Schizosaccharomyces pombe: one gene and its partners. The protein of the gene in region 3 purifies or fractionates together with the protein of the main gene of each other region. This does not show direct contact. Each region holds a gene or a part of one and is shown on either strand. Other genes may lie near its edges.

What was found.
Region 1: the proteins of bmc1 (region 3) and lsm2 purify together in Schizosaccharomyces pombe (affinity purification with mass spectrometry, with the first as the bait; one study listed by BioGRID). This does not show direct contact.
Region 2: the proteins of bmc1 (region 3) and lsm7 purify together in Schizosaccharomyces pombe (affinity purification with mass spectrometry, with the first as the bait; one study listed by BioGRID). This does not show direct contact.
Region 4: the proteins of bmc1 (region 3) and lsm8 purify together in Schizosaccharomyces pombe (affinity purification with mass spectrometry, with the first as the bait; one study listed by BioGRID). This does not show direct contact.

What each region holds. Positions count from the first base shown.
Region 1 is NC_003421.2:2,140,047-2,147,773, forward strand, and holds lsm2 (U6 snRNP-associated core protein), read right to left. Parts: upstream 4,940-7,727; 5' UTR 4,879-4,939; coding exon 4,819-4,878; intron 4,766-4,818; coding exon 4,664-4,765; intron 4,312-4,663; coding exon 4,209-4,311; intron 4,151-4,208; coding exon 4,125-4,150; 3' UTR 3,903-4,124; downstream 1-3,902. Other genes in the region: sap18 (SAP128 family histone deacetylase complex subunit), read right to left, coding at 524-797, 965-1,128; U5 snRNP-associated protein Prp18, read left to right, coding at 1,144-2,100, 2,146-2,220; putative signal recognition particle subunit Sec65, read right to left, coding at 2,633-3,009, 3,063-3,285; wtf meiotic drive antidote Wtf23, read left to right, coding at 5,715-5,850, 6,067-6,396, 6,446-6,724, 6,761-6,952, 6,993-7,055, 7,106-7,212. UniProt on the Schizosaccharomyces pombe protein: Component of LSm protein complexes, which are involved in RNA processing and may function in a chaperone-like manner. Component of the cytoplasmic LSM1-LSM7 complex which is involved in mRNA degradation by activating the decapping step.
Region 2 is NC_003421.2:1,812,172-1,819,424, reverse strand, and holds lsm7 (U6 snRNP-associated protein Lsm7), read right to left. Parts: upstream 1,060-7,253; 5' UTR 1,002-1,059; coding exon 952-1,001; exon of another isoform or gene 898-951; coding exon 606-897; 3' UTR 501-605; downstream 1-500. Other genes in the region: nucleoporin Nup60, read left to right, coding at 1-308; dsc5 (UBA/UAS domain-containing protein), read right to left, coding at 1,853-3,028, 3,216-3,323; SPRY domain membrane protein, specificity factor required for ubiquitination Ear1, read left to right, coding at 3,942-5,090; dual-specifity cAMP/cGMP phosphodiesterase Cgs2, read left to right, coding at 6,794-6,883, 6,945-6,953, 7,000-7,253. UniProt on the Schizosaccharomyces pombe protein: Component of LSm protein complexes, which are involved in RNA processing and may function in a chaperone-like manner. Component of the cytoplasmic LSM1-LSM7 complex which is involved in mRNA degradation by activating the decapping step.
Region 3 is NC_003423.3:2,960,245-2,968,371, reverse strand, and holds bmc1 (Bin3 family regulator), read right to left. Parts: upstream 4,270-8,127; 5' UTR 4,146-4,269; coding exon 3,537-4,145; exon of another isoform or gene 3,495-3,536; coding exon 3,297-3,494; 3' UTR 3,156-3,296; downstream 1-3,155. Other genes in the region: protein ess1, read left to right, coding at 1-50; origin recognition complex subunit Orc6, read right to left, coding at 165-777, 836-1,017; iss9 (nuclear export factor), read left to right, coding at 1,850-2,497, 2,548-2,677, 2,746-3,155; plp2 (phosducin family protein), read right to left, coding at 4,697-5,045, 5,109-5,435, 5,480-5,505; SNARE protein Sec22, read left to right, coding at 5,720-5,753, 5,963-6,107, 6,173-6,336, 6,400-6,704; SPOM_SPBC2A9.14 (uncharacterized protein), read left to right, coding at 7,462-7,562, 7,670-7,769; SPOM_SPBC2A9.13 (uncharacterized protein), read right to left, coding at 7,643-7,752, 7,847-7,883.
Region 4 is NC_003421.2:2,273,202-2,280,215, forward strand, and holds lsm8 (U6 snRNP-associated protein Lsm8), read left to right. Parts: upstream 1-4,676; 5' UTR 4,677-4,700; coding exon 4,701-4,725; intron 4,726-4,779; coding exon 4,780-4,948; intron 4,949-5,011; coding exon 5,012-5,102; downstream 5,103-7,014. Other genes in the region: pdi5 (protein disulfide isomerase), read right to left, coding at 1-643; ubiquinone biosynthesis protein Coq11, read right to left, coding at 1,167-1,997; exosome subunit Csl4, read left to right, coding at 6,132-6,677. UniProt on the Schizosaccharomyces pombe protein: Component of the nuclear LSM2-LSM8 complex, which is involved in spliceosome assembly. The LSM2-LSM8 complex plays a role in the biogenesis of the spliceosomal U4/U6-U5 tri-snRNP complex by accelerating prp24-mediated annealing of U4/U6 di-snRNA.

The DNA of each region.
Region 1 (7,727 bases), on a different chromosome or scaffold from region 3:
TTAGCGCTATTAAACAATGGAAAACATTAACCGCTTAATCCATCGCTTCAAAAAAAATGATAAAAGATTCTGCTATTTAAAGTGTTGAATCCTTTCCAATGTGAATTATAATAAAAAAAACGCTTTCTTTTCCTACAGCATATATATAAATTTAGCAGAAGTGATTCCTGAATCCTTGATAGGCCTCGAGCTAAAGTATATCTCCATAACTCAATAAGGAAAATAGTAAGTACACTAACAATTTTTTCTTAATGCGTCAAAGGTTTTTTTAAGAGTATGGGAAAAAAAAATTTCTCAACTTAAAGAGCTTCGAATCTTTTCAAAGCTTCAAAGCTTATAAACATACAATATGAGATTAGTGAACAGGGTTGTAGCGGTTTATGATTTTGTATATAAATAGAATTAAGATAAGCTTTTAAATAAATCTTACAATAGAATTCTTCAGTCATGCACTTCGTTTTTTATATCGTTCTCAAACCCATTAAACTTCCAAAAAATATATATGTACCATCCGATCAAGGAATCACTTTTTTATTCTAATTTTATCCTCTTTTATGGTAACATCAATTTTGTCTCCGCATTTTATTCCCGTTCTTTTCAATAATTTGTTGCCTTGAAATAGCTTTGGATTGTGCAAACAAACAGTACCTAGATCCCTGGCTATCGGGCGATCTTTATACTTATCGTAAAAAATTGTTCTAATTTGCAATGACCATTCAGAATGTCTTGTTTCTTCGTTATTCAAAAGAAGTTGATCTGCAATGAGAACTCCCAGTTCATAAAGGGTCATGGTCAACCTAAGATTAATCGTTAGCATAAAAGTTTAAGATTTGAAACATATAAATCTAATTGACATATAAATTGTTCATGGATGATCCTTTGACGGATTTTCTAATCGTAGTCCCAATGAAGTATGAGTTCATATACAACAACTGAAATTTTCCCGTTAACACGATTTACTTACCATCCATAAACTTGAATAGAAGGAATCACGTCTTCAAAGATGTCTAAAACATGATTTTTTGTTTGGAACTGATGATATACTGAAATGAGAAAAGGGCACGGACCAACAGCATCTTCACTTTGGCTTAATTCAGGAGATTGAGAGCGACTTTCACGAATATCCATTTCTAAACCTCCCAAATGGATTTTTTAAAGGAAGAAATTGAACGTAAACGTCGCCAACTAGAAGGAACGAGCGAACTTCCGGTAAAAAAGGCGTTTCGACGAGGGGATTGGGAGAAGGAAAGGGAAAAGAAATATCTGCAGGAAAAACAACAAAAGGATGAGCAAAGAGAGTTGAAAAAAAGAAAGTTGGAAGAAGAACGTCTTAAATATGAAGAAAAGAAGTTACGCATTTCACGACTTGCGAACAAAGAGAGCAGTAGAAATGAAGAGTTGCTTACAGAAACAACAACTCCCTCACCAGCTGTCAAAGCGTCACCTGCAAGTACAAAATTATCTGTCTCCGAAAACGACCGTTTATCAATACCTGAAATCACAAAAGACAACCTCACGTTGACCGAAATTATTGCAAAGCTTCGTGAGATGAAAGAGCCAATTCGTTTGTTTGGAGAGTCAGAAGAGGCTACCATTCAACGATATTACAGTTTGCTAAAATACAAAAAACTGGAAGAAATTGAAAATGAACTCCTTACTAAAGGAGTTGAAACAATCGACTTTGAGCATGCTACTACCACCAAACCCAAAGTATCCAAGCAAGTAGTTGCTTTTCTTCAACATGGAATCCGCATTTGGGACAACTTTTTGTCTTCAAAATCCATCAACTCTTTCGAAAGTTCTGAGAGTCAGATGCAATTAAAAATATTTCGTCAAGCTAAGCAAGATCTTGATGTACTTATACAACTGATAGTCGATGAAGCTTTAAACGACGATATTTTTAAAAGCATAGCTGAAATTTGTTACAGATGCCAAAAACACGAATTTGTCAAAGCCAATGATATGTATTTACGTCTGACAATTGGAAATGCACCTTGGCCTATTGGAGTTACTATGGTTGGTATTCATGAAAGAAGTGCACATCAACGATTACAAGCAAATCCAAGTTCAAATATACTTAAAGACGAAAAGAAGAGAAAGGTAAGATTTTAGATAAAGTACCCAGTCTAACCTTTCACATGTTAGTGTTTGCAAGCTTTAAAGCGATTTATTACTTTTCAGGAAAGAGAGTCATCAAACTTACCTGAATATACGGATTGAAGTACGAAAAAGATGCTATTTGTTGTCGAAAAAGAATTTAATTATACAGTTCACACTAAACTTTTGAAAACGACTATGTCAAACATGGTTTACTAATGATAGAATATTCAAAAATTTCGCCTCTGAATTGGCATGAAAGAAACTACAATGAAACAGCTTCTGATATAACGAGAGGCGAAACATTTATAAAAGACAGAAAAATATTAAGTATGCCACCAGAACTCAGTCTTAAAAAAGCAGAATGTGCTGTGCAAATGAACTCATCTTTAATGAAACTCTACATCCATACTCATTATTAGGAAAAAATTTTTTGTTAAAAGATGACGAGAAAAAAAATTTACTAATATCCATGAGCGTTTGCTAATAGTCGAAAGCACCTATATTCCTAATATTTCAGTTTTAAACAATAAGTTTACTCCAAATCCAAATCATATTCTGGTTCAATTGACTTTTGTTTTCGCTGGCTTGAAGATGCTTGGGGAGTTGGCATAGGAGGAGCAGGGCCTCCCATACCAGCAAGTGCAGCCATTGGATTCATACCTCCAGCTAATCCAGGTTGCTTTTGCATTTCCTGCATCATTTCCTGGAACATATTTTCAGAGATACCACCGCCAGATAAAGCAGGTGAATGAAGAGGTAAAATCGTATTTCCTAAAACCCCCTTAGGATATGCAGGAGGATTTTCAGGAAGACGTGCGGGAACATTTTGAATAGGTAACGATAAAGGATCTGTCTTAACAGTTGGGCGAAGAAGTAGTACTTTGGCGATTTCGTTTATGACATACTTTTCTACATTCACAGTCAGTTAGCATACGAGAAAATAAAACTAATAACAATCTTACTTTGTATTTTTTCAGGTAATACCATTTCGACTCGACCTGGATTGACCCAATCTGCAGGATGTGTCTTCAATGGTTCCAATTTACATTTATATCCCAAATCGCGAACAACATCGGCAATATTTTTAGCTAACGGATTTAAAATTGCTTTGTCTTTTGGTACACAACGAAACCTACGTGGACGGCTCTTGTCAAAGTAAATGGGATATAATATGATAGATGGCATGTGGATGGTGAGTGAGGTAGTTGGCAGCAAATGCGATATCATACTTATGCTGCTCAACCGTATGTAGTAGATAAATACGATTTTACTTTCAACTTACTACTGAACATTTCAATTATTTTTAAAAAGAAGACGTTTTTCATGATTAACTTAGAATAAAACTAAGAACACTAAAAAAGTAAAATCGTATCATTCACTGGGAAGATCTTAAAAGAATACAAAATATATTAAAAAAACGATGAAAGAGAGTGTGCCTGATTGGCTTAAAGGTGAGATCGGTTGAATCCTACAAATGAAATCAGTAAAATAAATTGGAAGAAGAATTAGACTTGTAAAACACAAATCTGAGTGGATATCTTTTAAAGTAATACAAACGCTCTGTTGCTAATGATGCATGAGTGCTAAAAATTCCCTCTCGCAGCAATAAACCGATATGTAACGATGTATGTATTTTATGATAATTGACAAAGTCTCATCAACTATATTAATGGAAGAAGCCGTACACAAAAATCATGTAAACGCCAACAATTTTCTACTTAATTTTTTTTTTTGAAGATAATAAAACGGTAATTTTAAGGGATCGGTTTCAGGCATAATAGGGAAGCTGGATTTAAAAGAAAAGCGAAAAGGTAGTAAGAATATGGATGAATGAAAGGGGAGGAAAATACCTTCAAACAACAATGGTCCTTAATAAAATGATGTATATACACATGTATATTCCTTTTGCGGGCATGAAAAAAATCGCAATGGGACACATGATGAATAACCGAACTACGATTAAATAAGCAATTAGTTCACGGTTTCCGAATATATTGACCAAAAAAAGGAAATTTTCAAAGGAATTATTGACGCTTATTATTAGCCAAGTCTAAAAACCAGTGAGTTAATAAGGCTAAAATTTCAGTGTTTAACAAATCATGGCTTACCTCTACGACAAGCATCAGCTAATAAAATAGTATCAACATATGCACTTGACATATGGACGTAACGAACAACGCTACCACGAATAAACAAATCTTTAACAGCAGCCTAATAAATTATTAGTTATAACTCTGGAATAATAGCACGAGATAGTGTTAAGAGTAGGAACGAAAAAAAAAGGATAGATCGAAGAATTCAGAAAGTGAGGCGCACTTTATGATCAGTCTTAAATTGTTCAATTAATGAAAAACCTAGATTTTAAAAGTTGAGAATGTAGCATATACGTTGGGAAAGCTGATTGATTCATGTTCCTCTCATGTAAGATGTTGTACATAATCGATTTGGACAAGACTTTTTTCAAAAATCAATCAAAAACCTAAATAAAATGAATAAACCGAACCCTACCGATCGTAGAAATCATTTATTTCTCTTTCAATTCCCGATAACTTGCAAAGCATACCATATGAGGATATTTCGACGCATCGACCACAGAAATATTTTCAAGCTTAACGTTTAAAAACTGGTCAACAGATTTCAAAATTCCTCGGATACTCATATCATTCTATAGTTTGGTTAACCTCATAACGCGATCAAAAAAGCCAAGTAGGGGCATACCTTCAATTCCACGGTAACTTCCGTGTCTATTAATGTCTTAAAAAATGAGTAAAACAACATTATAATCGGGAGAAGACTCGTTTTACACGCTTTTGGATGAAGTAAGAAAGATGCAGCGAACAGAAGAATGTGTCATGTACAGGCAAAGCCCATTTACACGGTATTGTGTTGGAGCTCGTACATTTTTTTGCGAGGATTTACGAAATCAAAAAATCATATTAAGGCTGTCACCGAGATTAGTTATGATACAGTACGTTGAGTGTCACTATATGTTCACATGTTCCATTTACATATCGCACCGCAGATGATACGATGTTGATATTAATTTTAACAATAATCTATTAAAATCCAAATCATCTAAACAACGTAAATAGAGTTACTGCTAAACCTCATTCCTTACACAATTATAAGTTGTATTTGCAATAGATAACAATACAACTTGATAGTACAATACCTAAACTCAGTTGCTACTTATAGTACCTGTGTATTGTAATATCATAGGTCACAAAGGAAAAATTACCGCAGTTCTATGTAATCGTTAAAGCAGATACCAAATTGCGTAGCTGACATTATATTATACTACAACGTTTTGCTTCTCAAAAACGTTTTAAGGAAATCTAAGTTGGGGTGAATAAAAAGGGCAGTGACAAAATAAATGTGTCAGAAGCAATTCACTGCCTCGTTCAGTTTTTTCGTTCTTCTTTTTTTATGCCATTGTTTGAAGGAATTAGTTGGAAATTTGTTTGAACAATTTTATTATTTTGTTAAAAAGTCTTTAAAGCGATTGGAATTGGACTACAGAGTGAATATTCTTGATTTTGCTGTTTCGTTTGTCGCAATCACAACAATTGAACTATTTGTGTGTATATCATTAAATAATAGACTGTCGTTAGAAAATGAAGAATAAATATTACCCCTTGAGGTCGTCTATGGATGAATTGAGTGCAAAAAACGATAATGAAATTGATTTGGAAAAAGGTCCTCTCCCAGAATACAATTCAGAAGATGGGAGCACATTGCCTCCATATTCAGGTAAGTGTTGTGTTGTTGGTAGATAAGATAAAGAATTGAGTGTGTCAAGGATTATTTGCTGTGTCTGTTTGTTTTGATTTACAATGTTTTTGTTGTGTTTGTTTGTTTACAACTTGACATATTACGAGTATAAATTCGTCTAACAGGGCACGCTCTTTTTTCCTTTCCCATTAAAAAATATTCTAAAGTTACCATTGAATTTTGCTAACAATATAGAAAATATAAATTTAAAGGATCCCAAACAAATGGGAGCTAACAACCCTAACTTATTTAATACGGACGAGTCTACGACTCCTCCGGATTATGGTGAAGACAGTCTTTCTATTACACATAGAGAAAACCATTCTTCCGGGACGGCAGATAATTCTTCTACCTCTCCGTTGAAAAAAGCATTTTTATCATTCATTTCAATCTTTGTGCTAAACGTACCCGCAGTTTGTTATCTAACGTATAAGGACGCTCTCTTTAAAGATTATGGCAAAGATGAATGGGTATATTTTGGAGTGTGGTGTGCTATTTGCCTAATGATTTTTATTTCTTTATGGTGTAAGTGACACGATAGGTCAATTCTTACCTTCAGTCACTAACTCATTAGACTTCTATGAAACTTGGATCAAGGCAGTCAAAGTAACTGTAATTTTCTTGGCACAATGTATAAAGGTGACTGTAGTTTTCTTGGCACAATGTGTAAAGGTGATCTCTATTGGCCTTTTCAACATAAGAAGAGAAATGATGATTATAATTTGGTTACTCTGGTTAATCATTTGTTGTATACTCTTTGGTTGCGTCAAATCTGGCGATCTGAACTTAAATAAGGCTCTCATCTATTCCACATGCACTATTTCGGCTGTTTTACTTTTAATTGTATCATCTGGTAAGTGAAGTTACAATGCTAAACGCTGACAAACAGTTTGTATTCCATTTTGGACATTCGAGCGTACGTTAGCTAAGTTGGCAAAAGTGTTTTTGTTACAAAGTGGTATCGTGTTGGTACTAAACGGTACGATGTTTTTACGTGGTAAACATTTTGAATGGACAGGTTGTGAAATTGAAGCCTCTGTGCTATTTATTATGGGCAATGTTCTTTTTCTTTGCGAAATGGGTTCGTTAAATATTCTTGAAGTTTACTCTAACCATGCCAGAATGTCCAGGTGCACTCATAAGAACACGAAACTCTATCAGGAATGGTATAGCTTTTATTTTAGGTATGTGTATTCAACCAACTGTATGAATGATTTTTTACTTACCCGACTAGGAGGGATAGGAAATGCGATGATGGGGCTAGCAAATGCGTTTAGAGGTGGCAACGATAATAATAATAACATTCCCTTGGGGGAAATGGATGTCGAAGGCGAAGTTTAAATTGCATTATTAAAGTTGTGCTTTCGAAAGTCTCTACAGCTGGAAAACCTCTTTACGAAAATCACCAACGCAGAGAAGCTGCGGCGTTTTAAAACATAAGCACCAACATTCTTTAATCATCATCTTTCACTATAAGTTTATGGAAAATATGCTTAACTCATTCTTCCAGTTACCAAAAATTGTCAAACTAATGCATCGCTTGAAATGGTTCGCGATGTTGGATAATCTGGATAATATGCATTGAGATTCGAATCTCTTATTTATTATATGCGAGTCTAATTATGTGTCTTTTCTAATGGAACTCAAGTCACAAACAATAATGGTTTAAATTGTTTACGACAACTTAAAATCAACTAATGAAATCGAAAAACTCGTTGTTCCGCCTTGTTAAATTTACAAATTCATTGTCGTTTATTGCATTCATTTCTCCTTCATCTTGATTCTTAATGAATCAAGCTTAATTATCATTTTTCTTTTTGTTTAATGGTTCAATTCAAACAAAATTAATGTTTACA
Region 2 (7,253 bases), on a different chromosome or scaffold from region 3:
AGATGACGAACGTTGCTATTGATCAACGGAGTTTTGAGCAAGCTGAGAAAAGCCCTATCTCAGTATCGGAATCGACTTCGCTAGTTGAAGTCGAGAAACCCTCTGCTGAGGGCACGAATGAACATAAGCAAGATGCCACTATGACGCTCGAAAAAACTGACAAACAAGGTTCCCTAGAAGAGGAACCTTTTCCCAAGTTTTCGTTCACGGTTTTGCCAAAAGAGAATGGGGAGAATCTCTCTACAATGGAAAGCACCCAGGAATTACCTAAATTCTCATTTTCAGTTTTGAAGGAAGAAAAGAACTAAACTTTTTGGCATTAATATACTTTTATTCAATGGCATATATCTATTTAGACTAGATAAATTATATAGCAATGTGATAACAAGCTAACTGGGAATAAACATGGATTAAATAATTTAAACATATGCGTAGAGAAAATCATCTTAATAATCGAATTTATTCTTTTAAACACATATTGCTTTTACACTTTTCCGAATTGGGTCTTTGAACCTTCAAAGCAAAACATGCACATGCGGTATAATAATTAACTTGTAGTATTTTATTAACAATAGTCAAACATCAAATGAAGGGCTTGTGGCTTTTTATTCAGCTTGGACGAATGGATTCGGTATCTCCTCAGAACCATCCATGGGAGCAATCAAAACTAAAGTTGTTCCACGAACGACTACAAGACCTAACTTTCTAATAGCTCCAGTAAGTTTACCATCCTCAGGATTGCGAAGCTGTTCCTCTACATCGTCAAGTACAAGGTTCATCAACTGATCGAATCCTTTTAGAATACCGGTAATTTGTCGGCCCCCCGTAAACGTGGCTTGAATTCGTTGATCTTGATATCTAGAAAGATCAAGGATAGATTCTTTTCTTGGTCTTTCACTATTTAAGAAAGTTAGCAAAACTCATGATGCTGCTCGTTCCTGCTAGACTTACGTCGGTTGACTAGAGTTACCTGGGCCAGGGCGTTTTTGAAGACTGGACATTCTTTGTATCTAGAATAACCAGGTAAATTATCAGCTATTGCCCAGAAAAGAATAAAGTACAGGTTCAACTTGACGATTCTCCTTTTTACGATGATTGTAACGTGATCGAACGTATCCTTATATGGTTCAATTTGAATGACTTAAGACATAGCAGTAAATGGAATATAAAACACGCTACAGAAAGGAATGTAAAATAAACTTGCTCAGTCTGAAAGGAAATAATTTCACCGCTTTACTTTTCCAATTTTGTTAGAAACGTTGAGAAATTCCATGCTTGGGGTCATAATGCTTGACATAAAGTGAATCTAATGCACTAATTTGTATATTAATTATATAAAAATTTAACATTAATGAAAGTTTAAAGGTAAAATTTAAGCTGTTTAGAAACAAAGCCACTAGACTTTTTCGAATTGCAATAAAGAAAGATTTATATTTTAAACAAATTTATGTTCATAATACATACCTCACTCATCACAGACGAAAGCTGGCAAAACTTTTATGCTACAAAGCCTAAATTACTAGCCTTTGTCCTCCATTGCAAAGAAAATCGTAGAAAACAGAGATGAAGATGACATGCATAGAAAAGGTTTTTGGCAAAGAACAGAAAATCTAGTGGAAATCGACTATGTACTCAGATTAAAGGGTGCATTGAAAGTTTGCTCAAAATAAAAAGTCAATGCGTCCAGTAGACATTCATGCCATAAACAACAATTAATTCAGTAGTAGAAATAGAAAAGAGAAAATAAATTCATCATACATCAAATCTTAGAAATGTATTTAAAAACGGATTCGAAACGTCGATAGTCGTAAATTGTCATTATGATTTAAAAAGACAAACAATTTTGTTAATTTCAATCATCCAGCTCCACCACCACAGTGCCATTTGGAAAGATGGCTTTGTTAGTAGAAATAGCCACTGATGGTTTCAGCAAAGCTCTGGGCAAAGAAGAATATAGTTGAAAATGAAAATCATGCTTATAGTCACTTGGTGGAGTGACCGGATTAGAAGATGAAGTAGCGCGACCGAATTCTTCAGGCTCCTCTTTTTCAAAAAGCATATAATCCACATAGTTGTAAACGGATTCAACAGTATCATCCTTCTTAAACCTTCGAACAGCCCGAGATCCGTCGGGAAAACGGATCGAAAGACGAGCAGGTTCATCTTCAGATGATGGCTCCGGTGGAAGATTAGAAGCAAGCCAAGCACGATATTGTTTTTTCTTTTTCTGAACGATTTCTCTTTCTTCTTTCTCCTTTGCAAGACGCTCTTCTTCTGCTCTCGCGAAAGCTTGACGCTCGCGATCGCGGGCAAGGGACGCTTGATAGGCATTGTCTTGTTGACGTCGTAACTCGCGAGCAGCTTCTCGTGCTTCTCTCTCCGAACGGAAACGCTCAAGAGAAGGAAGATGTTTAGCCAAAGCATTAGTTAGATTGGTAATGATGCTGGAACTATCAAGACATCCATGGAGTTGGGCGGCAACTACAAGCTCAGATAGCTGAGGTGAATACATAACAAGGACTGCGGAGGGAAATTTAGTGCAGTGGAATTGACGAGAACCTCGGAAAGCCTCATCCTCACAAACATCACCAGTCCAGCAAAGAATGTTTCGACGATTTAAAAATTCCTTTAGCTCTTGGTTCATAAGAACACTCCTGGAAAACGTCTCAGAGTCATCATTCTTTGAGCTAGTAAAGAAAAGCAATGCGACTCCATAATTACGCTTAATACGTGTCAACGCTTCCATGTAGCCGCCATCAGTAAAAAAATCAATATGCTCAGTACCGTATTGCTCTTCTAAATTCTGAACCAGCTTGTTCGCAGTGTCTGCAGGAGAAAGGACACGCTTAGTAGTACCAAAAATGGGGATAAATGTTGAAATCAGAGGAACCCTTGACAAAATCATCCATAGTTTGTGCAACCCACTGAATAGCAAAGAAAAAACAGATTGAAAGACGCCGAAACTTAATCCAAGCTTTGAATTTCTATCGACTCTTGACGATTCTCCAGTTAAACTCTCGATCGCTTCCTAATCATAAAACAGTTAGCAAAATGGCTCAGTCCCAACATTCACCGAAAATTCGATTAGAAAAATAAACGACAACCAGAGGATTCCATGAATGTTCAGTTGCAAATAACAACTTTCTTGGAATTTTTCAATCAAAGCAATTGATCACTATCGAATACTGAAAATGAATGCTTGCCGTGTCACATACCTGAACGTCCCAATTAAATGATTCCAAAACAGATTGAGCAGTATCAGCAGGAACATCAAGAGAGTTCCTTAATTCGTCTATTGCTTCTTGTTTTCGAGACCCTGACATGGTAGGTGTTGTTGGTTAATGGACGGAGTAGTATCCATGTGGCCTTTACGTGGTGCTTCGTAACCTTCCTTTTCCCATTACCATCTGAAATCCGGAAGCAAACATTGAACGAATCAAAGTAAATTTTCGAATAAAAATTTGGTTAATTCCAATCTATGGTTGTAAAAACAGAAAACTTATAAGCATAATTGTGACGGAGCAGTATTATCTGGTAAATTGCCGCTGATTTTCGATTTTACCTTACAACAGGCCATTGTGGCTCCTTCAGGAATAAATTCTTTTTTATCTTAAGAATTATATCTTATTTATTTAAAGGAGTTTGTATTTTCTCCTGTAAACTTGAAACAAGTATACCATTTCGCCCAATCCTTGAGCATTCGCAAAAACCATATTAGTGCAATATTTGAGATACTTGCATCTACGTTAGATTTAAATATTGTATCTCGTGCTTAATAAACTGCATATCTGAGAGAAAAATCCTTTTTCTCTTAACCCTATACTATATCCTCTTATAGCTAGGATTTTACTCTCAGTTATTTATTTCTCTATTAAATATACACTCGCAGATTTTCCTTTTTCAAATCTTATATAAAAAATTATTTTTTGCGTCTTTGAGTCATGCATCCCGATCAGATTCGCCAGTTGAGATTACAGGAATCTTCAAACACCCATCCTAATTTAGCAATCCTTTTCATATTTATTGCATTAGCCGCTGTCATTGTTCTTTTAATCTGTCTTTTGTCAGTCATCTTATTACTGCGATACACACGACATGGACGGATCTTGCTGAAAAACACCAATCCTGGTGAGTTGGACGACGAAGCGTTAGAGAATGAACATATTGATGAAGAAGGATTTAGTTTATTGGATGATATGGGGAAAGAACGGTATTTACAAGCTCGTGAGTTTGAGTTGAATTCCATGAAATCTAACGTCAACACGGATGCAAAGCTGCTTGACTTCCTACAAGTTCAAGAGAAGGGCGTATTAGCATGGCACTTTATCCCAAATCAGGAATATAATTGCTATGTTAAAAATAAAACTGAATTGTCTTTTTTGGGCAACGAAGAATGTTGCATGCAAACCAATTTGCCTTTGCAGAGGATCAATGAAGTATACTATTTTGAAGTAAAACTTTTAGACGTACCTATTGATACCTTGGTTTCCATCGGTCTGGCTACCAAGCCATATCCGCCGTTTCGATTGCCTGGTTGGAATTTTTGGTCTACTGCTTATGTGTCGGATGGAACACGCCGCAGTAATTCACCATTTACGGGAAAACCGTACTCCTCTTTCTACCAGCAGGGAGATGTAATTGGTGTTGGTTACAAACCGAAGTGCAATCGGATCTTCTTTACACGTAACGGTCGTCGGTGTGCAGAACTGCCGTGTACATATCGAAATTTGTATCCTACGGTTGGTGCAATTGGACCTTGTACCTTACATGTCAATCTTGGACAAGCAGGATATGTATTTATTGAAGCAAACATCAAGAAATGGAGACTCGCTCCTGCGGTTGGAAGCTTGGCTCCTCCTCCGTCGTATTCTACATCGCAGCCAACTATTAGTTGGGATGCAGCTAGTGAGTCTTCAGCGGGTACAACAACGCAGGGCGATACAAATAGACCCGACAAATCGAAAAATAGGTCACCTCCAATAAATTTTGATGGTACCTCGTATGATGCGGCTGGTAATGTTTTCAGTCCATCATCATCCAACAATCAAGCTTATCAAATGCACTCCATGCCTGCTACCGATGAAGTATAAGGAGTAATGTATAGCTTAGCACTAACAACCTTCACGCCAAAACCAAAGATCAAGTTGTGGAAATGTTTGTGCGTTGTGTTTCAAGTTAGTCCTAAAATCGAGAAATGCACTTTGTATATGAATTGAAGGGGATGTGTTGATGTTCAATGTATTTATTTTCTTTATAATAATTTCTTCAAAATTAGTTATAATTATTAATCTTAATTAAATTTACTCTATGTTTATTCGCTCAATTAATAAAAGGTTATTCACAATTTATTATGATTTTTCGTATAATGTTGCTATTGAGTCTATACTGTTAACATCAACCTTCATCGAATTCCGCTGGTGAGAAGTTTTAACGGAGGAATTCATAGGGTTGTCAATCCTGATAATGAAAGTGTAAAAGGAAATTTTCGAAAGCGCTTTTTTACATTTCTAATTTTGCGTAGTGTCATAAAATGCAATTCCTGGTAAAAACAAAGCCGCTTAATTATTAGTCTTGTTATCTTTTGCTGTAATAAAAGGAAATCTACCTTTTTATTCCAAAGGAACAAATAAAGCAATTCGATACTGCAGTGTGACATTCTTTGTGAGTAAAAAAAAAAGGGAGTAAAACAGAGAACGTATTCAAGTAATATTCTGAGAATTGTTTCTATTTCAAACTTTTATAGCAAGTTTCCAATATGCCTTTAGGTATAGACTTAATTGAAAAAAGACCGATCATTATCAAAGGGAAAATTGGGATATATTGCTAATTAAAATATCTACCTAAAGGCTGCTATGCACCTATGATGATTTCTCTCCATAGACCAACAAAAAGTTCAATGGAAAGCAATTTCAGCGGCACATACAAAAGATTCTTCAAATAGGTAATTTAGGAATGTTTCTTTTGATTATCTTGCATAAAGGAAAAGGAGATCATATTTTGAAAGCTCTTACAACGATTACCACCCTCCCTAACTGATGCAAACTGGTTCTCAGCAGCACTGACTGGAACTATCTAAGTACTCTATGAAAAAGTAAGAGTTAGTTTAGCATAATCAGATAAAATGACTGGGACTTACGAATCCTCAAAGTCCGATAAAGAACCAAGTTCATACGGAAATCTATATTACACGAGGTTCAGTTTTTTGTATGTATAATGAATTATTATTTTAAAAAACATATTAGTGTCCGATAGTTTACAATTGTTTGCTAGTCGGTCTCTTAAAGAGAAGGGCATAAACTTCTGCCGACATTGTTAAACAAGCAACAAAACTTCCCCTCAGAAATGTTAAACGATAAAAAAAGGAAACCTCTGGAATTATATAAAAAATAGCTCTCTCTCTTCTCGTTACGTGACATTCTTTAAGGGTGTATATTGAACCTTCGGAAAAATTGCTCTCATAAGGAAGTGATACATGTCAAACGTGTTTCATCAAAGTCGCATTTTTTTTCTTAATATCTTACTTAAAGCAGCAAAGCATAACTTCGTTCCTCTCCACTTAACGACTTCCATCCTTTTATTTATTCATAGCATACTTCTTCACCAAGCGGGCACATGAATAAGGATAATTAACACACTACACTATACCCCGAGTTTCTCCACATTTCGAGCATCGTTTATCGTACCCTAAATCTACGGTAGTAAATGTATGCTTGTAATAAATATGACGTCAACCGACATGTTTTTGTAGACTAGTGCATGCACCGGAGATCTGTAACTCTCCATAAGCCTAGCCATGCATGCAGCACTCGAAATCAAAGAAGCTGAATTTCAAACCGATCAAGTAGTAGGACTCGTAGAAAATTCTTTTACATTATATTCATTGGTATGAAAAACGAAAAATATTTTTTTTTTTGAAGAATTTCGACTAACGTTAACGAAAACAGGGACAAAATGTAAGAATTCAAACATTATGCATTGAGAGCCATGCTGACTTATTAGGGGGGTCCATTGGAGTCTTGCTGTAGCAGTCATTTGATTTCTGATGGCGCATTTCAAGAAATTATATCGCTGGATGGTGGAAGCCACCTATCGGCGTTGGTTGAGTTGATCCAGTCAAAACACCTGTCCGTCGATTCTTGGTCTTCCATCACCAAGTATGACAATTATACGGTGGAAAATGAATCATACGCAAAAGCCTGGCACCTTTCAGAGCAAAGGATTAAAACGTTTCTCATCACACACTGTCATTTAGA
Region 3 (8,127 bases):
CTTCAGAAGTGTCTATTACAAATTTGGAGTGGTCTATTAGTAAAGCTTAGAGTCTAATTTAACTTTTTTTTACTCATGTATTTGTATATATCACTAAAGATATCGTGTACCCGTTTATAAATGTTGTTTAATGTACAAAAAAAAATTAATATAGTAAATTGTATTCATGAAGCAGTACCATCTTTTTCAAGCTGGCTTTTGTAATATTGGATTCTTTCTTCAATGCAGGCCTTCCATATTGGATAATTTTGAAGTCGTTTTTCGTAATCTATTTGAATCATGCTTGCTATCCCACTCCAAGGTTTTATCCGTTGCTTTTGAGATTCATAACCCTCTATACCATTTAAAGGGATTTCTTTATACTGCCAACTTTCTGAGAGGACATGCATCCAATACTGAATTTGCAATGCAGAACTTGTATCCTGTAAAACACTCTGTGCCTTTCTTCTCTCGGTGTGATTTATATGAAGTTCGTCTTTTCCAAAAGCTTTTGCCGATACTAGTAAATAAGCTGCGATTATGATGCCTCTTTTGTGTTCGATGCGCATGTCGTTTGTAACAACGGCTTTCACCAATTGTTTAACATAAGGTATAGCAGTTGAGCCCCCTAGTTTGGTACAAAGATAAGTAATGGTTTCCATCAGATCATCTTTAGCTGCTAAGGATTTAGTTAATGGAGATAAGATTTCTTGAAAGTAAGTGAAAAGTTTATAGTATTTCTTTTTTGGAATTGGAGTCGCTAGTAAATTTATTTCCAAATTTAAATCATTGGATAATCTTTTTAAAGAGTCAGAACAAGTTCAAGTAGAGTAATTAAACATCAGAAGTTACTTACAGTTCACAAGCTAAGTGCGCTGCCATATAAGGACGGCATAACTCTTCTGTCGCCTTTAGATTATGTTTATATTTGGACCATTCCAAAAATGACTCTCCTAAACTAATAAGCCGTTCATTATATTCTGTACTTTCAGTGGGAATTATTCTGCGTAAAGACTCTATAATCTGTTGTCGCTCCATGAGAAAATGAATATATTTAATAAAACTTTTATCATTTAATTTTGATTATTAATTATTGAAATCATGTAATCATTCATAATATCATAATAGTGGTGAACGCTTAGTTTGTTTTATGTCAATATGGTGTTTAATACAGAGACATTTAAACGATGTTTTTAATGCTGCTAATACTACCAGCTGTTTCAAAAATATAAAATCTATCTACTTGATGCACCACTGAATTTGGTGTTTATATTCCGTACTTATTTAATATGACTCTTGCTTAATCATTCCGGTTGCTAGTTATCTTAAATAATGTCACCAAAAGCTTAGAATTTAGACCTACATTCTTCAAGATATTACTACAAAACTTTCGAAGCAGTCTTCAAATTTTTTTTTATTTAATAATGAATTACGATTGCTTTATTGGGAGGTAGTGTTTTAGGCTTGATAATTCGGTATATTACTCTCTTTTAGTAGTTTAATCAAGGCTATATGAGGCATACAGAATAAAATATGCGTGAATAGCGTGAGTTAATATTAACTACTTTCCATGTTGGTTTCATAAATTTTAAGCGAACAAACAAGTTTAGGTGGAACCGTTGAATTATTTGATGACTTTTTAAATTTTTAAAGGAAAAAATGATGAACGATCAACTGAATAGTAATAAATTAATCCTTATTGATTGAAAGGTTGGATAATGAAATCGACTTACAACGTTACTGACAGGGTTAAGCTGACGGACTCGCACTTCTCATACAATCTCGGTACTCACCACTTTAGCAATTGAGGAAGTTGAGAAAAGTACTTAACTTTAGCATTAATCATATAGCTCAATGAAAAATATTAAATATGAAAAAAGAACATCATAGCCCTTGGCCGGACTCTTTGAAAGAATTTATTGGTAGATGCATCCAAGACGCTGAGGAAAACAGCCAGCCAGAATTAGAGGATGAAGTAAAATTGCTAATTTCTCGTCAATACGAAATGGGAAACATATGGAATGTTGATTGGTCTTCTATGAATTTAGAATCCCTAAGGAAACTGACAAATGCTCAAAATACAATCATCGAAGATAAAAAAAGAAAGGTTGAGAAGCCTGTTTCTGGAAATCAATTTTCACTTTTAAGTGAAGAAGATGAAGTGGATAAGAAAGAAAAAAGAAGAAGAAGGTTTGAAAATGGTTCTCGTTCTCAAAATAACGCTAAATCTGAAGAGCTAAAAGTCAACCCGGAGAATGGTGCTATTATAGGACGGTCCACAGAATTAGAGAAAAGGTATTTGCGATTAACTTCGGCTCCTGATCCGGATACTGTTCGACCCCTTCCAGTTCTTAAGCAAACTCTCGAACTTTTAAAGAAGAAATGGAAAGAAGAGAAAAACTATGCATATATATGCGATCAATTTAAAAGTTTAAGACAGGATTTAACTGTGCAAAGGATTCAAAATGAGTTTTCTGTATTAGTTTACGAAATACATGCTCGTATAGCTCTTGAAAAGGTACGGTTAATTACTTTAAAATATCATTTCTTCTTCTAACGTTCGACTAGGGTGATGTTGGCGAGTATAACCAATGTCAAACTCAATTATTTCATCTTTACAGTTTTGGTATACCAGGGAATACTAAGGAATTTTTAGCATATCGTATTCTGTATATGCTCTTCACTAAAAATCGATCTGGTAAGTTAATTACGGCTTACTGCTTAAAAGAATATATCTTTTGAATTCAAATTATTAACAATTTATAGAAATGAATAGCCTTCTCGCCAATCTAAAAGAAGAAGACAAAACAAACGCTGCTGTTACACATGCATTAGAAGTCCGTTCGGCGATGGCTACTGGCGATTACTATAAATTTTTCCATCTATATTTAGTCGCTCCCAACATGGGAGGTTATTTGATGGATCTTTTTATTGAGAGAGAACGAGTGCAGGCGATGATAATGATGTGCAAAGCATATCGCCCTTCTCTTACAATGGAATTTTTGGCTAACACACTAGCATTTGAAGAAATGGAAGATTGTGTAAACTTTTTTAGGAGTTGTAATGCTGTATACGATTCAAAAGATCCCAATCGCATACTGATGAAAGAAAGCACGGATAGATTCGAAAAATGCATGAAAAAGCATGCTGTGGTTGATATTAAAGGCCAAATCTAATAATAAAACTACTTCATTCCGCTTTTCTTTCTTTCCTCATATGTTGAATTAGAGAATTTAATAAAAAATGAGACACGTCCTTTTGGGACATTATGCTTTATAGTTCCAGTCATTGTCTATTCTTAACGTTTTACTAGACAATTAAGTAGAAGTTAATAGTTTTATGATTCCAATTCCTTTTTTTTTATAGATATACATTGTTCGTTTGGCAAAATTCTTGTACTCAGAGTTATTTACTTGAGGTTCGATACTGTATTCAAGCACTAGTCCTGCTTGATTAAGCAAATGTTCAAACGCATCAGGTTGGATTTTGAGGTTCTCAGGTGTTTGATTAAAAACCTAGAAAAGTAAGAGTTAGAAGTATTGATAGTCGTGACTTACAGATATTTTTTTTGCAGCTTTCAAGTACGAGTCCCATCCTTGAGGTTCTAAAATAAGAACACCATTCGTTTCCAATAAAGAACTAATCTTCCCAAAGAATTTAATGATTCCTTCATCGTGGTTATTTAGATGCACCCATTTAGATACGGATAATGCTAGTATTATTTTGAATTTTCGTTTCGATTCCCAGCGCAAGAAGTCAGCGGTCTCAAATTCTATATTGTGAGGGAAATTTTGCTTATTGAGAGGTGGTTGAAGTTGCACTGGTATCCTGGAAAACTTTTTAATGCTTGAAATGGGGTAATAATTAAACTGGTCTTCTACAATGGAACCAGGATTGCGTACAGGGCCAATTCGAGAGCTCACAAACTCAAGATGTTTTCGAGCTTTTTGGATGAGAACATGATCGATATCCAATCCCAAAACAAATGATGCACCAAATATTGAGGCAATTTGAGCAGACACTGTCCCATTATTGCATCCTATATCTAAAACTGAAGCCTCATAAAAAAGGGAATCAGGCAAACATTTAAGTCTTGGATCGATAATTGAGGTTCCTCCCCTCATGCTGTAATAACTGTGATAATTTCCATGTTGAAAATTCGACATCCCAAGTCGAGGAGGTTTTTCAAATCACCCCTATTTTTTATAAAAGTATAAATTTTGCAATGGAATTTAAACGAAAACTTACGAATCGAACTATTTAAACAAAAGCGAGAAGTTTCAATTTGTTGTTGTTACTAATACATTAACGATGTTTACATATCTTGAAACTCAACGTCCGACTCGTAAAAACTAGTCTTAAAGCATCCAACAATTTAGAAAGGATCGCTAGCGGTAAAAAAAATAATATCAAAAATATATATATATATATATTATCCTTTTAGCAATTCTTCGAAAGTTATTTTACTTTTGTATGTACCTCGATTTCAACGTCTTTTTGCAAACTTATCTTCGAAGGTGTTTTTCCCTTTATGACTAAAAATTTATTGCTTACGTAGACAGGTTAAGATAGTTTAAAAAATGTTTAGTATATGCAAAATATATTTCATTCTAATTACAAGAACGATTAGGTGGGCTTTTTCTTTGAACAAGATTCCTTCATGTAAAATAGCAAGATGAGAATAGTTTTACACTTTATAAGTCAATTCAATCTAAACTCAATCAAAATCATCATCCAAATCGTCATTAACGGAAGAATCTCGTTTACCTAACTCATCTTCTGCATTTTGTGGATCCTTCAAAGCTGCAATATCACTGTCCTTTAAGGCACCGGCTCTAACCAATGCTTCAGCTACATCAACTACACTAGTGTTCATTCCTCCTAAAGTAGCTAAGGTTAGAATTTGTTGTTGTAAGTCTCCATGACCGTATATCAAAAGAGTTGGCATCATCGCTTCAGGATAATTTTCGACTGCTTGTTTTCCGGGAATTTTTACAAATTTAATTTGGGGATACATTGGTGCTAGTCTCTCTAAGATAGCAGCTAATAATTTACAGGCCGGTAGTCTTGAATTGTAGTGTGTTAGTATTGACCCATTGAAAATGCAAACAAATGAAGAACAAACGTACGAGTCTTGGAACATATGCACAACGACAAACACTTCCTTGCTTGCATCTGTGACTTCAGCTGTATATTCTGGTTTCGAAATAGGATATACTGAGCCAAATTTTGCTTTTGACATTTGATCCTTCCACTCCTGCATCCGCTTGTTTCTGTACATTTGTAAAAACTCATCATCTTCTTCGTCCTCAAGCTCTGCTAACTCATCTAGATCCTTGTTTTCCAACCGATTCTCGTGGGCAAGCTGCTTTGCATCGACCAACGCATCGTCTAAAACATCATCCACATCAGGTTCTTTTTCGGGTAAAATTCCCTTCGAACGTAAAATATCATTCCTGATTTGTTAACTTCTATTGTTACAACTATTCATCCTCCATACCATTCGGTATCTTCGTCAGGATTCATTTGGATATATTCCTTTTATTAATCCCGTTGCAAAGTGATGTGTGTATTTACCTATTATAGGAACGATTAACTAAACATGTTGCTTCAGTATTGTAGTATAACGAAGCATACTTAAATACGGTATTATCGATATCGATGGTACCGTAGGTTCGTTTGACTAGGTTGTAAACGCTTTGGGTACGTTGAATGTATCCAAAGCACGCGATTGTACAATATGGTAAAATCTACCACAGTTACTAGACTTGATGGTATGTATACCTACAAAGTGGGATTAGTTAATTTTCTGTTGCTGAAACCATAAAGACTGGTCTTCGTTGAGTAAAATGAGAGTTGTATGTTAAAATTATTTCGTGATTGCCTCAATTCTCAATTCTCATTTTTGCTTTTTTTTGCTTTCTATTTAACTAATACCCGTTCAAATGAAAATTACTTATAAATACTAACTGATGAATTTAAGGTCTTCCGCTTGCCGCTAGCGTGGATGATGAATCAACAGAAAGAAATTTGGAAAGCCATAAGAAACAAGCCAAATTGATCCTTAAAAGACTAAGTCCTACATCGGAAAAAAGGGCTTCTATTGAGTCTGGTGATTATACATTTCAGTAAGTTTAATTGTGTATACGAATAGCAAACGGAATCTCAATTTTAGATCTAACCAAACGTCTAGTTATCTCATCGACAACGGAATATGTTATTTATGTATTTGCGAACAGTCGTATCCTCGAAAATTAGCGTTTTCGTATCTGGAAGAACTTGCAGGCGAGTTTTGGAATAGTTTCGGCGAAGAAGCATTACAACCTGGATTACGTCCTTATGCATTTGTTCAATTTGGTATGCCTTTATTTATTGACTTAACTTATTTTTTTTGCGATTGAAATAACTAACAATTTCTAGACACCTTTATGCAAAAATCAAAAAGAGTTTATAATACCCCGCGTGCCAATGATAACCTTGATAAACTCAACACTGAGCTGAAAGATGTAACCCGTGTCATGACCAAGAATATTGAAGATTTACTGTATCGAGGTGATTCCTTAGAAAAAATGGCGGATCTCAGTTCAGATTTGCGTTACTCTAGTGCCAAGTACAAAAAAGCGGCTCGTCGCGTTAACTTGGAAGCACTTTGGAGGCAGTACGGCCCTGTTTCGATTATTGCCCTTTTGTTTCTGATTTTTGTCTATTGGCGTTTTTTCGCTTGATTCACGATTCTATTTACGGACGTTTAAGTTTAGGAATAAGAAATCTTTAATGACCTTTTCTTCAATATTTACAAACCAGAAACGAAATTCAATAATGGATCCCATAATTAGACATAGAAACAAAAAGTTTGCCCATCATTTGTTTTGTTTATTGTAGTAATTATTTTACCTTATTCATCTTTGCTGACATTTGTGCAACCTGCTTTGATTCACATCTGCTCTATCTATCTTGAGTCTGTTTGAACATAGCTAAATATTGTATAAACATATATGTATAGTTGAAGTGTTTGTTTTCCATCCCTTGTGCATCCTTTCCCATAACTAAGCTGGTTTATCGAATCGCACCGCTATGCCGTGTAGAGGAGAGTGTCTGAATGGCTATGGAAATATTCTAATAAACCCTCCTTAGCTTTTTATTTTTATTACTGTTTTAATTATAGCTCTATAAACGAATAAAATCAAGGTGTTGTTACCGCTATACATTATTTTTTATATTATTTCAGCCACCATACCCCAGTTTTTAAGTTTGTTTTGACGTTGTAAGCCAGCACTCAACTATTATATATAATGAACGCCTTGCTTTTCATCAACTTCTAGCAGTAATTATTGTCTCTCTTTTAACGTCGTATTCTAATTAATTCCCATTGAATCCTCGTGTACATTTATTATTCTATTTGTTAATTACGATTTTCGTGAGCAACTCCTTTTTTTGTAATTGCACAATTATTGTTAATGAAAAAAATTGTGCTATAATATAATGACAGAAAACGAAACACTTCAAAAATCCTCATGGAAACGACATTTTACATCCACCTTTCCAAATCGGGTTAAGAAAATATTCAAAATAAAACACTCTTCGTAAGTACTTAGAATCAAATTTTATTACTTTTTCTTTTCTTCCTTTATTCCCTTTGTCTTATTAGTATGTATGTTGGACATTAAAAGTTGCTGACTCCTTTCTTTAGATCGATACCTATCGTTCGTGTACAACCGCCCACACCCAGGAATTCTGCTCTCTTTACTACAGCCGATTTCATCTCATATACAACTGTATACAAAGTTTAGCATGCCATACATTAACTGAAAGACCCGACATGTAAAAGACTTTCATTCTTCCTAAATAACGAAAATTCCTAACATACTTTGTAAATCACCAGCATTGTTTACAACAACTTGCATAATTCCTTAATACTGATTGGTAGGGTAATGGCTTAAACCCGGATGATTCTCGATATTCCACATTAACGACTTTAGGGATTCAATAAATTACTTTGGTAAATGAAATGCCTGTGTTCGTAATACGGCTTATTGTAAGAGTAGCTGACATGTATTTATTAAATACCAGAATCTTGTATACAATTGCCAATTACCTATTCGTCTTGCTGAAAAGTAGTATACAAGAGGCTGGTATTGTAAGGGGGTT
Region 4 (7,014 bases), on a different chromosome or scaffold from region 3:
CGTCTGTTTCGTCTAGCTCAGTTATTAGATCAGCGTGCTTTGATAACACTTCGTAAGGAGTATGAGCCGTAAAAACTTTTTTTTGCCCGGCATTGTTATAATAAACAAGAGAAGGAAAAGAATTGATCCCAATTTCTTCGCATTTTTCTAAAGATGAGGCACAATCCACGCTCTTGAATTTTATTTTGTTCCTATATTTTTTGGACAATTGCACAATAGAAGTAGCCGAGTCGGTGTAAAATGATTGTCGTGGTTTTTTTTTAGAATCGATAAATAATACAAACCCATGTTGACGATGAGACAAGAAAAATTCGGAATTAATCTGTTTGAAGTCGATCATTTCGTATGAGCCAATACTATTTAGCCGCAAATTGGCTGAATTGGTGTTCAACAGCTTTCTTTCTTTAAAACTAGAAACTAAAAGTTCTTCTCTTACTCCTTGGTTGTCGCGATTAGCTGTCGGCATTATTAATTTATTGTTGACTTCTTTCTTCTCAACTGTAGCAGAAACAGAGCTCAAAATATTTTCGAACTCTTCTCCTTCTGGTGAATGCACCAAGTTAACTGCTTTACAAAAGGCATGGCGCGTAATCGCGAACAGGAACGCAATATAGAGAATAGATCTCCAAGCACCCAGCTCCATAAATAATTTACGACTGTAAGTCCAATTTGAATAAGTAAATTAAAAGGATTATGAACTTCTCTATCTTCTTAATTCTTTAATTCACCGAGGACCTTTCGAATGCGTGCGTTTGATATAGGTAGTGCGAGGTGTATAATAAGGTAAAATGTATGGTTACTACAACAGCTGATATATCGAAGCAAATATAGCTCGAGTTAACATGGGAAAAGAGCTTTCTTTCTAATTTTTTGAAATAACTTGTTTTAATTTTCTAGTTAATAAATACAGTCAGGAAGCAAATTTGGCAATTATAGTTGGAAAAGATTCTACGACTTAGATAACAGTAGTTCAAATGATGTAAATATTGAGCAGAGAATTTAAATTAGACGATACTTTTTCTCTTTGTTTAGCAATCATATTTTAACTTGAAAGTATAAAGACGTATTCAGGTAGATATAATTAAGACTGGTCAAAATTCATTACACATAACCCAATCATTCATTTTCATAAACTTATGATGTGTAATTTACTTTTAACAAGAGAATCATAGAGATTTTTGCTTAAACTTATGAGCCATAGATTTTAATTCGGAAATTTCCACAGGACCCTTGACACTGGGATCAGAAATAGCCTCCAAAGCAGCCAAAGCAACTTCCTCAGAAGGAAGGGGTTCAGCCGAAGCGGTTCCGAGGAAATTTAAAGCACCAGAGGTTGCTCGATTGATGCTGGATGAGACAGTAAAAAGAGACGCAAGGGCGCCTGTGAAAGGACGATCATTAAAGTTATACATAAAACCAGGACGGAGAAATATAGAACGAAGGTTTGAAATTTTAGATATTTCCCTTTCAGCTTCACGTTTCGTTTTTATGTAGCGGGGATCCAACCCGGGAGCCGCTGCATGAGCAGACACATAGCAATACACAGGGACATTAGCTTTGGCGGCAATCTTAGCTGTTTCAATAGCTAAATCTCGATTGATTGCTTCAAATGTAACTTTATTTTTAGATTGCTTTGCTTCTTCAGGTTTAGGTGCTAAAGGGTTTTGGCCAGTTTTAAACATGTTAGAGCTAAGACTATTGATTAAATGCGAAACTGGTCCTCTGGGATTCTGTAAAATCTTTTTATAGTTATTTTCCATAAGGATACCAACACTGTTCACCACTGCCGAGGCATCACGAAGAACAGGAAGTAATGAATTTGGATCTTTTTGAGCATCCAACGTCTCCCATTCAACATCATCCATCCATGGTTCTTTGTTATGCAATCCTCCAGCTCCTCTTCGGGATACTGAAACCACCTCGTAACCCTTAGCAATGGCTAATTTGCAAATATTATGCCCTAAAAAGCCTGAACCACCTAAAACAACAATTTTCATACTTAAAACGAGGGAGAAAGTAAAAATAAAATTATTTAAAGAATTTAAATCTTCAAATTAGACAATTTGATATAGGCCAGCCCAAATTATTATAAGGATTAGAACCCCAGAATTGTTAATGTAAGCTAACACCTCAAAGTTTCGTGATGCTTATTATTAATCTTAATAATTGAGAAACACAAAAATGCTGTCTCAAAATATTTTTAAAATTTCCTTTTACGAACAATGTTCAAAAAACCCTTTCAACCTGAGTAGTTAGTAAATCGTAGTTGAAGAGAATGAGGTAATGTGCTAGCTCAATAAGGAAGACCAAGAGATGGAAAGAGGTAATTAATTATCTTCTATTAGACTTATTAATTTATAAAAATATGTACATCATTTAATAAGTATGCAAAATAACCATCATTCATAATTGGAGTATTAGTAAAAGTTTGTCTTAAATGAGAGCGCTAAAAAAAATTAAAAATAAAAATGCTTTGATAATTTAGTCTTTAATTTTCTATACTTTATAAGCCATTGATTAATTTCTTAATTATCTTTGGATTTTAAATTCGTAATAATAAGATCTCAAATTCAAATACTTCATAAACCCATTTACAAATATGTTAGATTAATAACAAATTCAATTTTAAGCTAACAATAGAGCTTATGAATCATAATATTTATTCCGATAACCCTGAAGACACAATTTCGAGTTTTATGAAGTGTCTGAGAAGCCAGTTGATTGCTATTCTGTTCATACAGAAAATTTCGTGATTCATAGCAAGAGGAAAGAAAAAATCTCAAATTTTTTTTATTTTTTTTTAATTAATATTATTACATATTTAGTTGATCGATCAAGAAATCGTTGAGCGAAAGTATTAAATTCATATATTCTAAAACAATACACTGTGGTTTAATTTTATAAATTTAAAATAACTGATCGTTACGAGATCTATTAGAATTTTAAGTCTTCTTATTATTGATATCTACACCTTTTTTGTTTTGAAAATATATAAATCTTATTTTTTTTCTTTCATTCTAATCAACATCCTTTTTTTTTTTTTGAAATTGTTTTAAATCAAATGTGTATTTCATTATATTGTGACTGATAAAAATATGTTTGCGAAAGCAACATTTGAACAGATTGAGTAAATAGGCTATGATATAGTAAATCTTTAAATTTAATTTAATTCTCAATACCAAATAAATATTTCTTCAAAAAGGGTTACAAATAAATTAGCTATACTGTGGAGTATATGATATATCGATCCCCCTGATGTAACAAATATAACATATAACAATATGTGTTTAAGTATGAGTATATTCAGAATACATTGGAAATAACGAAAATCCAAATGAAACATTAAGCATAAATTTCTGATTTCTAACTTGCCCTTTTTATTTTATTTTATTCATCATAGTTGTCTACTATTCCAACACAAGTTATGATGTTAATGAGTTGCTAGAATGTTTATTTGCGAGACAGTAGTATAAATATCCTTTCGTAGCTGCTGTACGTTATAACGAACAACTTAACTTTCTTAAATTTTTCTCAATAAATACTTAAATTTACATTGAAGAATATAGCTGAAAATAAATAAACTCACGATGGCAATTTCTCAGCCTCTTTAAGTAGATTTGCTTTTATAGTCACTATGATCTACTGGTTTAGTTCTGTGTGCTGCTTCGTCAAAGTTGTAAGTCTTCGCTTAATTATTAGCGAAACTTTATTTTATCAGATAGGGATAATATCCAAGAAAATTGTACTACCAAGCTGCTTTGAGAAGATAATACAAGTACTGAGATGAGTGTAAAAAAGTGCCAAGGAAAACGAGCTGCGCCCTTTAACTTCATCTGTCTATATTCTAAATGCCACCTTTAAAACAAAAATCTAACTTGTCTTATAATGTAAAAACCCTAAAGCTTCGCACTTATGGTGACACATTTAGTACAAATTCTTTCTATTCCATACGTTCTTTGCTGAATAAAGAGCGAAGACCGTCCCCTTTATATTCGAGCCGTCATTAATTTTTCATTCAAAAACTAAGATAGTAAGGCACATCGATAACAATCTAAAGTTGTGAAAAAATTCTTATAAAACGGAATTCTTAAATACTTATTTCTTCCAAATTATTTAAGCAAACCTTCAAAAGAAGAATTATCCTTCAATGATTTAAACTCAACAACTATCAAATGAAGTAATTCAAGAATATAACTGTAGTCAAATATATACATCTATATTCCCCACGTCCATAAGATTTGTATATTTGTTTACAACGGGTATTTTTAGTTAGAAGAACGGTTGCTTGTAATGATGAGGAAGGATTCGTGAGCCGGATATAGCTGGAATAATGTTCAATACCTTTTCCTTTAATAGATCTATTTTACAAAATAAATTTCGTTGATTAATAAAACAAAAGATCATTTAAAAATCGTGCGCTTCACAAATTACTTTAATTTTCTTTTGACACAAGATTGTGTTCCTTTCCAAACTAAAAATATAATTGGGTTACTTCTTATATTGATAGCAAAGTTAGCTTCAAAATTTTAAGACAAAAAGGTGTTTTCAATTTGATTAGTTTATTAAAATTCTTGATTTTTTTGTTTTTGCTGTATGTTTTATAAAAAGTATCATGTCACTTGAAATACATGCTGTAAGACTACCTACTTTTGTTTAGCACTACCATACTGTAATACAACTAATACTTAAATCACTTTATCATGAGTCTTGCTGATTTTATGGAACGTAAGTGTCAAATTTTCAATAGAGAATGAAGTGACTAATATAGATGTTCGTTAGAAAGGGTTCAAGTCATTACAAACGATGGTCGCGTTGTGCTAGGTTCCCTGAAGGGATTCGATCACACGACCAATCTTATACTTTCAGACTCATTTGAAAGAATTATTAGCATGGATCAAGACATGGAAACAATTCCTTTAGGCGTTTATTTATTACGTGGAGAAAATGTGTAAGTGGACGCAGAGCCTTGTACTGGCGGTACGTAAATCAATAATCTAATAGTTATTTTTAGAGCAATGGTTGGATTAGTGAATGAGGAATTAGATTCAGAAATAGAATGGACCAAAATTCGAGGTGAAGCAATACCTGACGTTGTGCATTAATACAAAAACCGGACGTTAAACTTCAAATGAGAACAAACGTTTAAGGCTACATAGGATTTGGGTTAATGATTTTTTTGTTATATTTCCTCTTTGTGCGGGCGAATCCTTTGCAAATTTTGTTAAGCTTTCCACGATATATTCATACCTTGCAGCATGTCTTTTATCAGGAAGCTATTAGCTCGTAGAAAGAAGTGAAAATTCTTTCTTTATTTTTTTAAAAAAATATGACTGAGGTTGTAGATTAATTCTGATGACAAAGAGTTGACACTTGAACGAAAATACTTAAAAAAATGGTTTAAAATACCGAGTTCGAGGACATCGGTTCTTTCAGAATTTAAAAAATTCTTGGTTTCTTGTTAAATTTGTGGATCACAAACTCATTTTTCTTCTTATTTTGTGGGTTTCATCTTTCTTAAATGATTCTTGGGAACGTTAACATACCTTTGTTTCCTTAATTTGATTTATGCACTTTGATTTTGAAATTTGTGGTCAACTTGTTTAAAGACTTTATATTTATCATTGATTTTTGTTATTATATGGAAAAAAACATCACAATTTATATCATTTACTGTGCATAACATTCTTCATTTTTGCTGTCACGCTTAATGTTTACACTGGAAAATTTCTCTACCTTGAGAAATATTTCAGCATCATGGTCCAATTTACAAAGATCATTTGAGTTAAACAAAAAAAATGATTTATTATATTTGCTGCTCATATTTTTTTTTTAGTGATTTTTTATTTTGGCATCGTTTTGTGAACTTACTTTCCAAGCTTTGGGATTATCAAGAAAAAATTTTTGTTGAAAGAAGAGCAGAAAAACTGTTTGATAATTAAATGCCTTTGCAATTTCATTTTCTCAATTTAGCAAAATAAACTGAAATTTCTGCAGCAGTGACTTTAGGTTACATTGTAACCTACAGTTTACAACGACCTTTGTGCTTACAGCAACTTTTTTTCAATTAATTTTTTACAGCCATACAAAACGGACTTGATTCCTTTATTTTTAGTTTATTAAAGCCGTTAAATATGAATTTGGTTCTCCCTGGACAGGTGGTCGCGAGAGGGGCTCCTAACGGTGAAGGAACGGTAAAGAGAGGAGATTATATTATTTCCACACGAACTGGCATCTTTGATCCAGAGAAAAATTCTGTAACGTACCCAAGAAAAGTTGAAGAGACAGCCGTTTTACCTAATGTCGGATCTATTGTTTTAGCTCGCGTCAGCAGGATCAATGCTCGTCAAGCAACTGTAAACATCTCAGTCGTTGACGATGTCTGCACCAAAGATGAATTTCAAGGGGTAATACATGTGCAGGATATTAGAGCTACTGAGAAAAATAAAGTCAAAGTGCAAAATTCATTCCGACCGGGTGATATTGTCAGAGCACTTGTAATTTCACTTGGAGACGGCTCTTCGTACTTTTTAACAACAGCTCGAAATGATCTTGGTGTGATTTTTGCTCAGTCTAGTGAAACAGGAGAGCAAATGTTTCCGGTGGATTATCAGCATATGCAAACAAAATCAGGATATACGGAAATGCGTAAATGTGCTAAACCTATATTAGACGAATAAAATGAGGGGATAAAATTGCTTTGTTTTGATATAACCTGATAGTTTTTTTTCCCTCTCGGTTCGTTCTTTCCTAACAAAAAAAAAATTCTGAAATTGTTAGAGATTTTATGATACGAATATACGGAACACGGATAAAAATAATATTGAATATAGAAATATTGGAAGTTCATTAGAATGATGATTGAGGTGACTTGCTGTCGAAACCGATATCATTTTCAATTAGAAGTCAAATGTATAGTTTTATAAGATATAGAGAACCTTTGTAATTCAACTGAACGGACAGGAGCTCTGAAGTTTCTTAAAGTTATTTACTTAATGGAACTGAATTGGTCGGTTG